3 linked regions of the Arabidopsis thaliana genome follow. The protein of the gene in region 2 interacts with the protein of the main gene of each other region in a pairwise test. Each region holds a gene or a part of one and is shown on either strand. Other genes may lie near its edges. The genes, in order: AT1G51580, VAR3 and LSU2.

Region 1 (3,757 bases), on a different chromosome or scaffold from region 2:
ACTGGAGAATGGTAACGATCTGGAGAAGCTGGATATTGTCTCGGTCCAAATGGGGGAGGCGGTTCTGGATACGGACCCATGAACGGCGGAGGTGGACCACCCATTCCTTGAAAAGGAAGTCTTCCAGGAAACATTGCTTCCCGAAGCCTACATAATATTTGGAACAAAGCATCTTGAACAGTTTTCAAATTACCAATGACCTGCCAATCCAGCAAAAAGGTGTCAAATAACAAGAAAACTACAGAGTTGAAAAACTTATCGAGGCCGCGGATGTTATATAAAATTTACCTGAACAATCTCATCATGTTGTGATTCATACTTTGTAGCTTGATCTTTCGCAAAGACGCGGATGCTAGCACCAGTTGCTCTCCTCATTTCACTTATCAAATGACCCCCTTTACCCAATAGACGTCCGATATATGGAGAATGTACAAGAAGCCGGGCAACAACAGCAGCACTAGGTTCAAATCCAATCTCAACAATTCTATTATGCACACGCATCACACCATCTTGGGCAAGAGAGTGCCTTCTCTCCAAGTTCTACAACAATGTAAACCAATGAGACAAAGTATCCAATGATATACATAAACCAAATCCATGGAGCAAATCAACATACCTCTCGTGCCGATATCACAATAATCCGCTCCTCTGAATCATGAGTTGGATCCGAAACCTTGATTGACGCACCGCTTTCGTTTTGCAGAGCTCGCACCACAGCTCCACCTTTCCCAATCAAGCTTCCAACTTTATCAGCCGGGCATAACAACCTGAACGCAACCTCCTCTTCAACAACCGGTCTATTAAAGGGTCCAACATCTTCAGGCATTGGATTAGGAGGAGGATGATCCCATTGAGGATGATACTCCATAGAATGATACTCAGGCGGATAACCAGGCTGCGGAAACGGACACTCGTCCCATGTTGGAGGTGCACCACTTTCTTGAAGACAGTTTGTAACCAACAAAAGCGCCTTCTTCACACTCGAAAACTTTCCATTCATCTTCATACAAAAACATTACTAAATCAGCCAAAAAAGCTCTATAAATTGAATAGCCACAAAGACACAAGAAGCTGTGTATACCTGAATCACAACATCTCCAGGGAAAGCACAAGGAGGAATCTGATCAGTAGATGAGATCCTAACAATAGCTCCACTATCTTCTCTAATCTTCTGAATCATCTTCCCTCCTTTACTCATCAAGTAATCTACTTGATTACCTCTAACAATCATCCTACACAAACCTTCACTCTCACCTTTATCCAATTCATCACCATCAACCGTAGCAGCGTCATCGCCAAACACTATTCTTTCGAAAACCCTAAGTAAAGCCATCTGCGCCGACGACGGCGCTTCCTCGTCATCTCCACCACTAGTCCCCGCACACTCGCTCCCTTTCTCTTGCTTAGGCTCTTCAGAGCCAGGGTTTTCGGAATCACACACATTCGATTCGTCCTTCTTCTTTCCACTAGGTGCGATTATCAACACTACACGCTCTTCTGAAGGAACGGGAATATCATCGATGACGCGGATTTTTGAACCGGTTACAGATTGGAGGTGTCGAATGACTGAGCCGCCTTTTCCGATTATTGCACCAGTTCTTGTTGCCGGACAGAGAAGACGGAAATGTACAGACTCCGCCGCCGTCGCTGTCGTCGCCGGACGTTTTGAGGTAGAGAACTCCATTAGTCGAATAAGCTTAACAACGTCGTTTTGAGTTTAACTCAAAGGCTCTTAAATGTTTTAAAATCTGTTTTATAAAATACCACTAAACTATGTTTTTTCTCTTTTCCAAAAATATTTTAATGAGTTTATTTTTTCGAAAATACTACAACAAAAATTTTGTTCCAAATTTATTACAAACACCAAAATTAATTTTTCAAGGTTTATAATTTAAACTTTTGAGTTTAGAATTTGTTGTTAGGATTTAGAGTTTATTTTTACGGTTTAGGATTTAGTTTTGAAAGTTTAAAATCTAGTTTTTGTTTTGTGGTATGTTTTGAGAAAAAAACTAGTGACAGTATTTGTGGAACAATAATACTCAATTTAGGTATTTTTGAGAATTGCCATAGTATGTGAGACTTTTGAGTATTATTTGAAATAAAAGTTCTATTCATATTTTCGTACTTAAAAAAGGAGAGAAAGAAATAAAAATTTATATTGTGTAGTCCTTTTCAAATCAAATTTCATGATTATGAAGAAAATGTTTTTCACTTATTGGCCTTTTTTTTTTTCTTTCTGCCAACTCATAAAATCATTTTGAATTTAAAACAAAAATCGAAAAGAGCAAAAAAAAAAAAAGCAAAAGGAAGAAGAAGACAAGAAAACCTTCACCACTCTACTTCAATGTGTTTTACTTTTCTCTCACTACAGTCCTTTCTCTCTATCTCTTTCTAAAACTCTCTCAATGCTTATCTTCTGATTTTACGAGGAAGAAGAAGAAAGGATTCTTCTTTACTTCTTTCTTTTTTTGGGGGTTTAATGTTAAGCAGATTCTGAGATTTCTGGTGTAAATCGTTTTCTGGGGTTGTTTGTTTGTTTTGAAGATCTAACTTATAGATCTAGTGTTTCTGAAAGAAGAAAAAATCCAAACTTTACTAGTTTCAAAGATGCAGAGACCACCTCCTGAAGATTTCTCCTTAAAGGAGACAAAACCTCATCTCGGTGGAGGCAAAGTCACCGGAGATAAGCTCACAACCACATATGACCTCGTCGAGCAAATGCAGTATCTCTATGTTCGTGTCGTAAAGGCTAAAGAATTACCAGGTAAAGACTTAACTGGTAGTTGTGACCCTTACGTTGAAGTTAAGCTTGGTAACTACAGAGGAACCACTAGACATTTCGAGAAGAAATCTAATCCTGAGTGGAACCAAGTTTTCGCCTTTTCTAAAGATAGGGTACAAGCTTCTTATCTTGAAGCTACTGTCAAGGATAAAGATTTAGTTAAAGATGATTTGATTGGTCGTGTTGTGTTTGATTTGAATGAGATACCTAAGAGAGTTCCTCCTGATAGTCCTTTAGCTCCACAATGGTATAGATTAGAAGATGGGAAAGGCCAAAAAGTTAAAGGAGAGCTTATGTTAGCTGTTTGGTTTGGTACTCAAGCTGATGAAGCTTTTCCTGAAGCTTGGCACTCTGATGCTGCAACTGTTAGTGGAACTGATGCTTTAGCTAACATCAGATCTAAGGTTTATCTCTCTCCTAAGCTTTGGTATCTTAGGGTTAATGTCATTGAAGCTCAGGATTTGATACCGAGCGATAAAGGGAGATATCCTGAAGTCTTTGTGAAAGTGATAATGGGAAATCAGGCATTGAGGACTAGAGTGTCACAAAGCAGGAGTATTAATCCGATGTGGAATGAGGATTTGATGTTTGTTGTAGCTGAGCCGTTTGAAGAGCCTTTGATTCTAAGTGTGGAAGATAGAGTTGCGCCGAATAAAGATGAAGTCTTGGGGAGATGCGCGGTTCCGTTGCAGTATTTGGACAAAAGGTTTGACTATAGACCGGTGAACAGCAGGTGGTTTAACCTTGAGAAGCATGTTATAATGGAAGGAGGAGAGAAGAAAGAGATCAAATTCGCCAGCAAGATCCACATGAGGATTTGTTTGGAAGGAGGGTATCATGTGCTTGATGAGTCTACACATTACAGTAGTGACCTAAGACCAACTGCAAAGCAACTGTGGAAGCCTAACATCGGTGTGCTTGAGCTAGGGGTCTTAAATGCGACCGGTTTAATGCCCATGAAAGCTAAAGAAGGTG
Region 2 (3,757 bases):
AGCCACCTCTGTGCTTTCTTTTCGTTTTCGACCAGTCTTCTCTCAAGTTCAGGGTCACTTGAATAATCAGAGTTGGCTGAATTGAGTGAAGAGTCCCTGGGTCGCTTGCAGTCACATCTTAAGCAAGCTACATTCCTCCCGTAATTATAGAAATCACATCTGATAAGTGAAACAACCAAGAAAGAAAGGAAAGGTTAACCTCATCATTCCTCATCGCATTAGTCATAAAGTAGCAGAGAGAAAAAATCAGTTTCTTACTGAGGACACTCCCATTCACTACCAGTAAGCTGTCTCTTTGGTCTTGCTTCATCACACTGGAAGCATTTGACATTTCTCGCAAAGTTCATGCCACTGCACCTGTTTCAACAAATTCCCACATCATATATATAGATTCCCTAAACGACAAGATGATGAAACAAAGACAATTACACCATACTGACTTCTTAGCTCTAAAAATAAGATCTTTCGACCACAATACTAGTGTAATAGTCAGAAGTATACTTGTTCAAGCTCAGATCCAGAAGATTTTTTTTTATGGTATCCTTATATCTAGGCCTACTTATATCTTTCCATAGAAGAATGGTAACCAAAAGGCCATAGGAGATTTACACCAAAAAGCTACTGAGAATCCAACAAATTCATACCTCGAGCAAATCCAGTCACCACGTTTCATCTCAACGTTATTCTGAAAAGACCTGACTCCTTGTCCATCTCTATCTGAGTACTGATTTTGCATCGTGTCATGAACATTCGACTCAGGAGGACGCAAGCTCATCTTCGCTATCTGACTCAAGAGGCTTCGAACCGATGACTCCATAATCTCTTTGTTATGTTGTTTGCTCTCCTCAGAAGAAGCAACATCCACAACATAACTCAAAATAAGCCTCATCAAATCAACTGTACTCGCCTTCTCCATATCCATCAACTAATGTAAAACACAAAAGATCATAACTTTGAGGCACAAATCACCATTGAACCAAGTTTAGACATAACCTAGCATTCACCAATAAAAGACTAAGCATTTGCCAGAAGATAGAACTTACCTTACCAATGCCCTGAAGACCACTTCTTAGGTAAAGGCTCATCCTTTTAAGTGAATCTGGACCTGTCTTGAATAAAAATGGCTTTCCATTCTCCACCAGCACTTCAACGTCTCTCCTCGAAAGCATTCTAATAAACACTAACATCATCAGATATTCAGATTGAGAATCAATCCAAAAAGAGAAAGAGAAAAAATTGCAGATTACTTACTCAAGCAGTTCTGGTCGTTCACGAGCTAGAGCTAAGCAAGCAAGAGCTGGACGGAGAAGTTCATCAGGAAAACCGGGAAAGAATTCACTTTCTAAACCAGAAATCGAACCGGAATCTGAGAAGTAACCAGCTTTGGAGAGAGATTGGAGTAGCTCTGTCCATTCAGGTAGCTGCTGGTTGTGATAAGAAGGAACAAAATCTGCGGCGGAGACACGGACTTGGTGATTGTAGAATCGTCCTATAGGAAACGTGGGGATAAGCGGCGGCAATGACACGAGTGGACGGAAAGAACATAGATTGGTTGAGGCAACGGACGAAGGAGGAAACGCACGGCGGTGGAAACGGCGGAGATTGGCTATGCGGCTGATGTAGAGACCACGGAGTAGAAAGAGAGGAGGAGGATGAGGAGAGAAGAGGGAGATGAGTCTGGTGGAGTTGTTCATCGTTGCTCGTCGTCACTGGTTTTATTTTTACCGGCGAGAATTATTTCAGTGATGTTTAAGGAAAAAAAAAGGATTAATAAATCGCAAAATAATTGCAAAATGAAGAAAAAAATAAGCCCATATTGGCTAACATAGGCCCATAATTCTGTGTGCTACTACTTGGGCTTGCCATTATGAATGTTTGGTAACTTTGGTAAATAATGTATTTCATTCAAATGGGATGTCTCTTAAAGAAAAAGTAAATGGTTTCGTACTAATAATGGAATTAACCCAAGTAACGAACTGATAGTAATCTAATCTAAGAGATGTTTTAAAGATAAGCGTAAGTTTTATGTTGAAATCTTCAGTTTATACAATATAAAAAGGAGTTTGCAGATTCGGTATTTATCAAATTGCACGTCGATTTGACATCAATTTTCGTGACTTGAAAAGTTGAAGTGTACATTGTACAATGTCATACGCATGCATACATTTCTTTTGACTTAAAGCCGCTATAACTTTAAAAGATTTATAGTCATACATTTCTCCGTTATTGAATTTTCACTTACTTAACAAACCTCGATTATAGTTATACTTCTACATATGTTCGTAATAAGTGATGTTTACTTGTTTAGAGATTTCAATTCACATACGTTATTTAATTTCTAACTTTTGTTTTTCTTAAATTAATAAGTTTATATGTTACAACTTACAACTTTCGAAAATAATAGATGATATAGACTATTTTTACATATACTATAGAAAAAAGCTATGTCAAGGATCTAAAATAGTTATATTTATTATGTATTAGTACTTCTTGGTTTCAGAACTTATACAATTACAATATATAATAAAACCTAAGAAATAAAAATTAACTAAAAAATAATACGTTATGAATATAGTTTTATATAAACGAAAGAAACGAAAATTAAAACATCAGTGGAACTAAAAAGGAGAGAATAATATTTGTGTTCTCTTGAACGTGGGAGTCACTGTGAGTTAAAGTTGGGTGTGGATTAGTTGCCGATCACTGCCGTCAACTTTTGACTAATGTTTATTCTGATTAACACTTTTACATACACTAAGCTATTTATAATGTAATAACTAATTTCTTTGTTTAGATCTATGTGGAGTAAAATATTGGTGAGTACGTAGACAATTAACTGCCTTGATAATGACTTCAATCTAAGTCCGTAAGGTATAACCTCATTAATTCCCCTAGAAATGTATTTTATCATAATTAATTACTATTTATACTTTGATGTGACATGTTTAGTTCTATGCCACAAGTGCAATGGACGGGCTAACAACTTTGACATGATTTGTAATTAAAATTCAATTTTAATAAAGAGACTTTATGTCATTACATCATGAGATAAAGCCCTAAATTCCTCAAATTAGTTAAAGTGTCTTCTTTAAAACTAATCAAGAAGTTTTAAAGAAACTTTTTCTATGTTAATGTAATTAGTGTGACTTATCTCATGAATCATGATTATCCGAACATTATTTTAGCGCTTGGAGTTTCGAAGTTACCTTTTCTCGCCACCTTTTGTTTTCTGGGTCTATTGAAAGATTGTCTCAAATTTTAAAAGGATAAGAAAAACACAATTCCATTAACTTTAATCGTACAAGTGAGAGTGTTAGAAATTGTGGTTAAACAATGATCAATAACCACTAACCATTTCGTAAAATTCACCGACGACTTTATCAAATGACGAACATGATCCGATGGATCCACGAACTACCGAAAGAGAAGTAACCTCAGAACTATGTAGAAAAAGCAATCCTATTATTCATTCGAACTAATTCAATATGCAGCTAGTTTTTTGGTCTAACGACTTCTTATCGTACCATTTTTCATCTCTTATCATTTTTACCATATTCAACCATACCACCATTTTTATCACTATTTTGTACAGTTACAAAGCTCTTACCGTCTTGCGCTATTAATCGGACCATTAAACAACTTCACATAAAATTTTATATTAGACGTTTGAATTTAAGTCGAAGTTTTGATAATCTTAAATGTAACCCCTAAAATACAGTCGATAGTATTTGATGAAACAACTCCCTCATTAAAAATC
Region 3 (3,480 bases), 2.6 Mb from region 2:
GACCGGGCTTTTATTTATTTTAGCGGACCTGGGCCGACTCTAAATGTTTAGCCCATTTTAACATCCGTACTTTTTATGGTGATCTTGTAATGTTATAAAAACTGGAAATTATTTTCTACATGTATAGCGCTGTTGCTCACGTAACATATATAGTTGCTGATGTAATTGGGTGTTTTAAAATCTATTTAGGATATTTTGGATGAATGATGATTATTTTTTTAGTCAATTAGATAGTGGTCACTGATCAGCATCCATAGAGCATATTCCAACTAAAGATTTCAACAGTTGGTGACCGGTCCCTCTGTGTTTTCCAATATATTTAACACAACTTTACATAATTTTATAACCAATATTGTTTAAGATTTTGAATTATAGCTAAAAAGAGAGAAAAAAACAATATTGATTCGGGCCATCAATTTTTTTGGACCAACCTTTGCTAGGAAAACGAAGATACACATCATAAGGTGACGTATAGAACAAAACGAACAGACAAATAAAGCATAACAGATGTAGTTTGTAAAGAATAAATGGTGTAGAACGAATAGAACAAAAGCTGAATAGATATCTTAATTAGTTTGGTGCGAGTAACGGATAAATGAGTTATCAAATTTTGACTAATGTTTTGAAGTTTCGAAATATATATATGATTGTATTAATCGGTATTTAACGCTTATGATTTTTCAGTTTATACTTGAATCACCCTACTTCTTGAGGTTGGTGTGTTGTCCAAATATGATTCACAAAAACATGACCAAGAGTAAAATCAAACCGCACCGTATTATTTTATTATGCTTCATGACACCATTCATAACCAAAGTCTTCTTAGTTTTCCCCATACACACCAATAAAGATACTAAAGAAATAGCTAATAAGTAATTTAAGAACTATGAATCGTAGCCGTAACTTTAACTATACAAGAATAGCTGTATAATCGTGACAGCCCTTGACTTTGGGAGATATTGTCCAATACTCCAGTTAAGAGAAAGAAGTGGGAATGTGGGTTACATCGACAAAGGCTTTGCTCCAAGTTAATTAATGGCTATAATTGGCGGAATATATTAGTGGAAAATATAAAGGTGAGAAAATGATTTCTACATGCCTTTTAGCAATTAAGAGAAATAGTGGAAAACAATTATTTTCTCTATATTCTATGAAATAGCAAAACAGAAAAGAAAGAAAAAAGAAAAAAAAGAAGTTCCCCTTTGAAATAAGTGGGGTTTCATTGAAAATTCAAATAGTACTACTCTTTCATTCTTTTAGTGTCCAGTCAACGTTCTCGAGAAGAAAATATATTCAACGATTAGTTTGTTGTTACATGAGTTTATTGAATTAAGTTTTTAGAATGAATATATAAAATCTTGAAAATTGGATGCTTCAGAAGCAATTTTCAGAAATTTTGTTCAATTCATGGTAATAAAATGTTCAATTAATTAAAGTCATTTTTCAAGTGCAAGAATGGTAATGTTAGCATAATACAGCGGATATATATATCCTCTTTGAGGATAAAGAGTTGGTGGATATAAATATAACTCATGTTATTTCAATAATAGTCACAATCTTTTCTTTACATGCGTATATGAAAACATATTTGCACAACTTATTCCTGAGTTTAGGACCATTATTAAGACGATGTATTATTATGATCTATTAACATATAGTTGTCTTTGATGAAATTGACAGCTCATTGGGGCTATAATGTAAGAATTGTTCATTACTTTTACTTACGAGCTACAGTTTAGACTTGTATAAATAGATTGAATTACTAGTATTTATGGTCCAGTAAATATGAAATATTCATTACTTTATATGTATAGCAATTAGATCAAAGTAAAATGGTCCAAAATATGTTTTAATCCACTTTATTCAATTAGACAAAGAAATTTATTCATTCTTAGAAAGCAAATACTCCATTTTAAAAAAAAAATATCAGTTTAAACAAATATTTTTCATTTTAAATCCGTTGCCATATGTATTATTGAAATGACAAGAGTTATTATGACTGAACCAATACATTTTACTATATTGATTGATAAATTTTTATTATAACTTATCTCGTGTCTCCTCTAAAAACAAATTTGTCTCTAACCAATAAAACAATTATATGGTACCACTAAAATATTCCAAAATATTAATTGGACCCAACGTGTATATCGAAAATAATTTAAAAGAGAAAATGTTCTAGAATCTAGAGGAAGAAAATAACTCACCAGAAATAAGAAAGAAGAAGAAGAGATATAGATACATTGAACCTAGACATAAAACCCACCCAAACCCCAGTCTCAAAGACGCCTATTAATAAGGAACGTTCAAGAACCAAAACAAAACACAAAAAAACTCAAAGTGACCAAAATAACCAAAAGGAGAAATCTTTAGAAAACCTTTAAAAGTTCTTAAAAATGGGGAAAGGAGGAAACTATGTGACGGTGGCGGCTTCCGAAGTGGACGAGCTACGACGGAAGAACGGAGAGATGGAGAAAGCTGTGGAGGAGATGAAGAAAGAGATGTTGCAGTTGTGGCGGCGGACACAGGTGGCGGAAGAAGCGGAGGAGCGTCTCTGCTCACAGCTAGCCGAGCTTGAAGCAGAATCTTTAGACCAGGCTCGTGATTACCACTCTCGTATCATCTTTCTCATGAACGAGCTCTCTCGTCTTTCTTCAGACTCTGCCTCTGCCTCTCCGTAGAATTAGATAGATATTTGCTTTTAAAGAAAGATAGGTTTTTTAGATTGTTTGATGTATCCTCTTATCGGCTCATATCAATGCCAATATGTAGAGTTGTCTTTAAAACAAATATGGAAGTTTCAATCAAAAAAAAAAATCGATGTTGTTACCGATTGATTTTTGCGATTAATGATGAATGAAAAGTCTTGAAAACAATTTAAAGTAAATGATATTCGATGTTTGGTTTGACTAAAATGGAATTTTGTTTGTAAGACGTGTAAATTACTTTAACAGAAAGAAAATTTAAAGCAATTATGGTCATGTTTCCTATTATTATATGTGAAATGACCAAATTACAAATAAAGATTTTGCTTTTAGATTTTTGCGTATTATATGAAGAAGTGTTTGAATTCTACTGAATCATTGACATTGCAACAGTGGTTTTGGTCTTTCTAGAGTTTGACATAGTAAAATTGGAGAACTTGGTTTGCTTTTGGGAGAAAAAAGGGAAACGAATATACGGATCCAACGCCAGTGTACTATGTACAAATATAAACAAAGGGTTTGTTTTTGAACAAATCTAGTTTCTGACAGAACCAGGTGACCTGACGTGGGCAAACAAGTCTAGTCTTTTTTTTTTGTTAACCAAAACCCTTTAATTTTTCATAAATTGTGATGCAATTAAAACAAACAAATATTTATAATGTTTTTTTTTTTGAAGTATAACTAGAATTGTCTTTGGAGAGACTTGGAAACTGATGATCCGAGAGGAGATCTCTTTGAATTATGAGAATGATAATAGTTATCTTGTATTTCTTTC

What was found.
Region 1: the proteins of VAR3 (region 2) and AT1G51580 interact in a two-hybrid assay, tested with the Arabidopsis thaliana proteins (one large-scale study listed by BioGRID).
Region 3: the proteins of VAR3 (region 2) and LSU2 interact in a two-hybrid assay, tested with the Arabidopsis thaliana proteins (one large-scale study listed by BioGRID).

The regions. Positions count from the first base shown.
Region 1 is NC_003070.9:19,123,539-19,127,295, reverse strand, and holds the start of AT1G51580 (RNA-binding KH domain-containing protein), read right to left. Parts: upstream 1,714-3,757; 5' UTR 1,685-1,713; coding exon 1,082-1,684; intron 1,001-1,081; coding exon 617-1,000; intron 541-616; coding exon 289-540; intron 201-288; coding exon 1-200. Other genes in the region: AT1G51570 (Calcium-dependent lipid-binding (CaLB domain) plant phosphoribosyltransferase family protein), read left to right, coding at 2,608-3,757.
Region 2 is NC_003076.8:5,870,978-5,874,734, forward strand, and holds the start of VAR3 (zinc finger (Ran-binding) family protein), read right to left. Parts: upstream 1,806-3,757; 5' UTR 1,695-1,805; coding exon 1,252-1,694; intron 1,171-1,251; coding exon 1,044-1,170; intron 926-1,043; coding exon 645-925; intron 358-644; coding exon 259-357; intron 160-258; coding exon 1-159. UniProt on the Arabidopsis thaliana protein: Probable component of some protein complex required for chloroplast and palisade cell development. Involved in C-to-U editing of chloroplastic RNA. Controls a large number of chloroplastic editing sites.
Region 3 is NC_003076.8:8,442,673-8,446,152, reverse strand, and holds LSU2 (response to low sulfur 2), read left to right. Parts: upstream 1-2,051; 5' UTR 2,052-2,396; coding exon 2,397-2,681; 3' UTR 2,682-2,874; downstream 2,875-3,480. UniProt on the Arabidopsis thaliana protein: May be involved in defense responses monitoring. Probably implicated into osmotic stress signaling.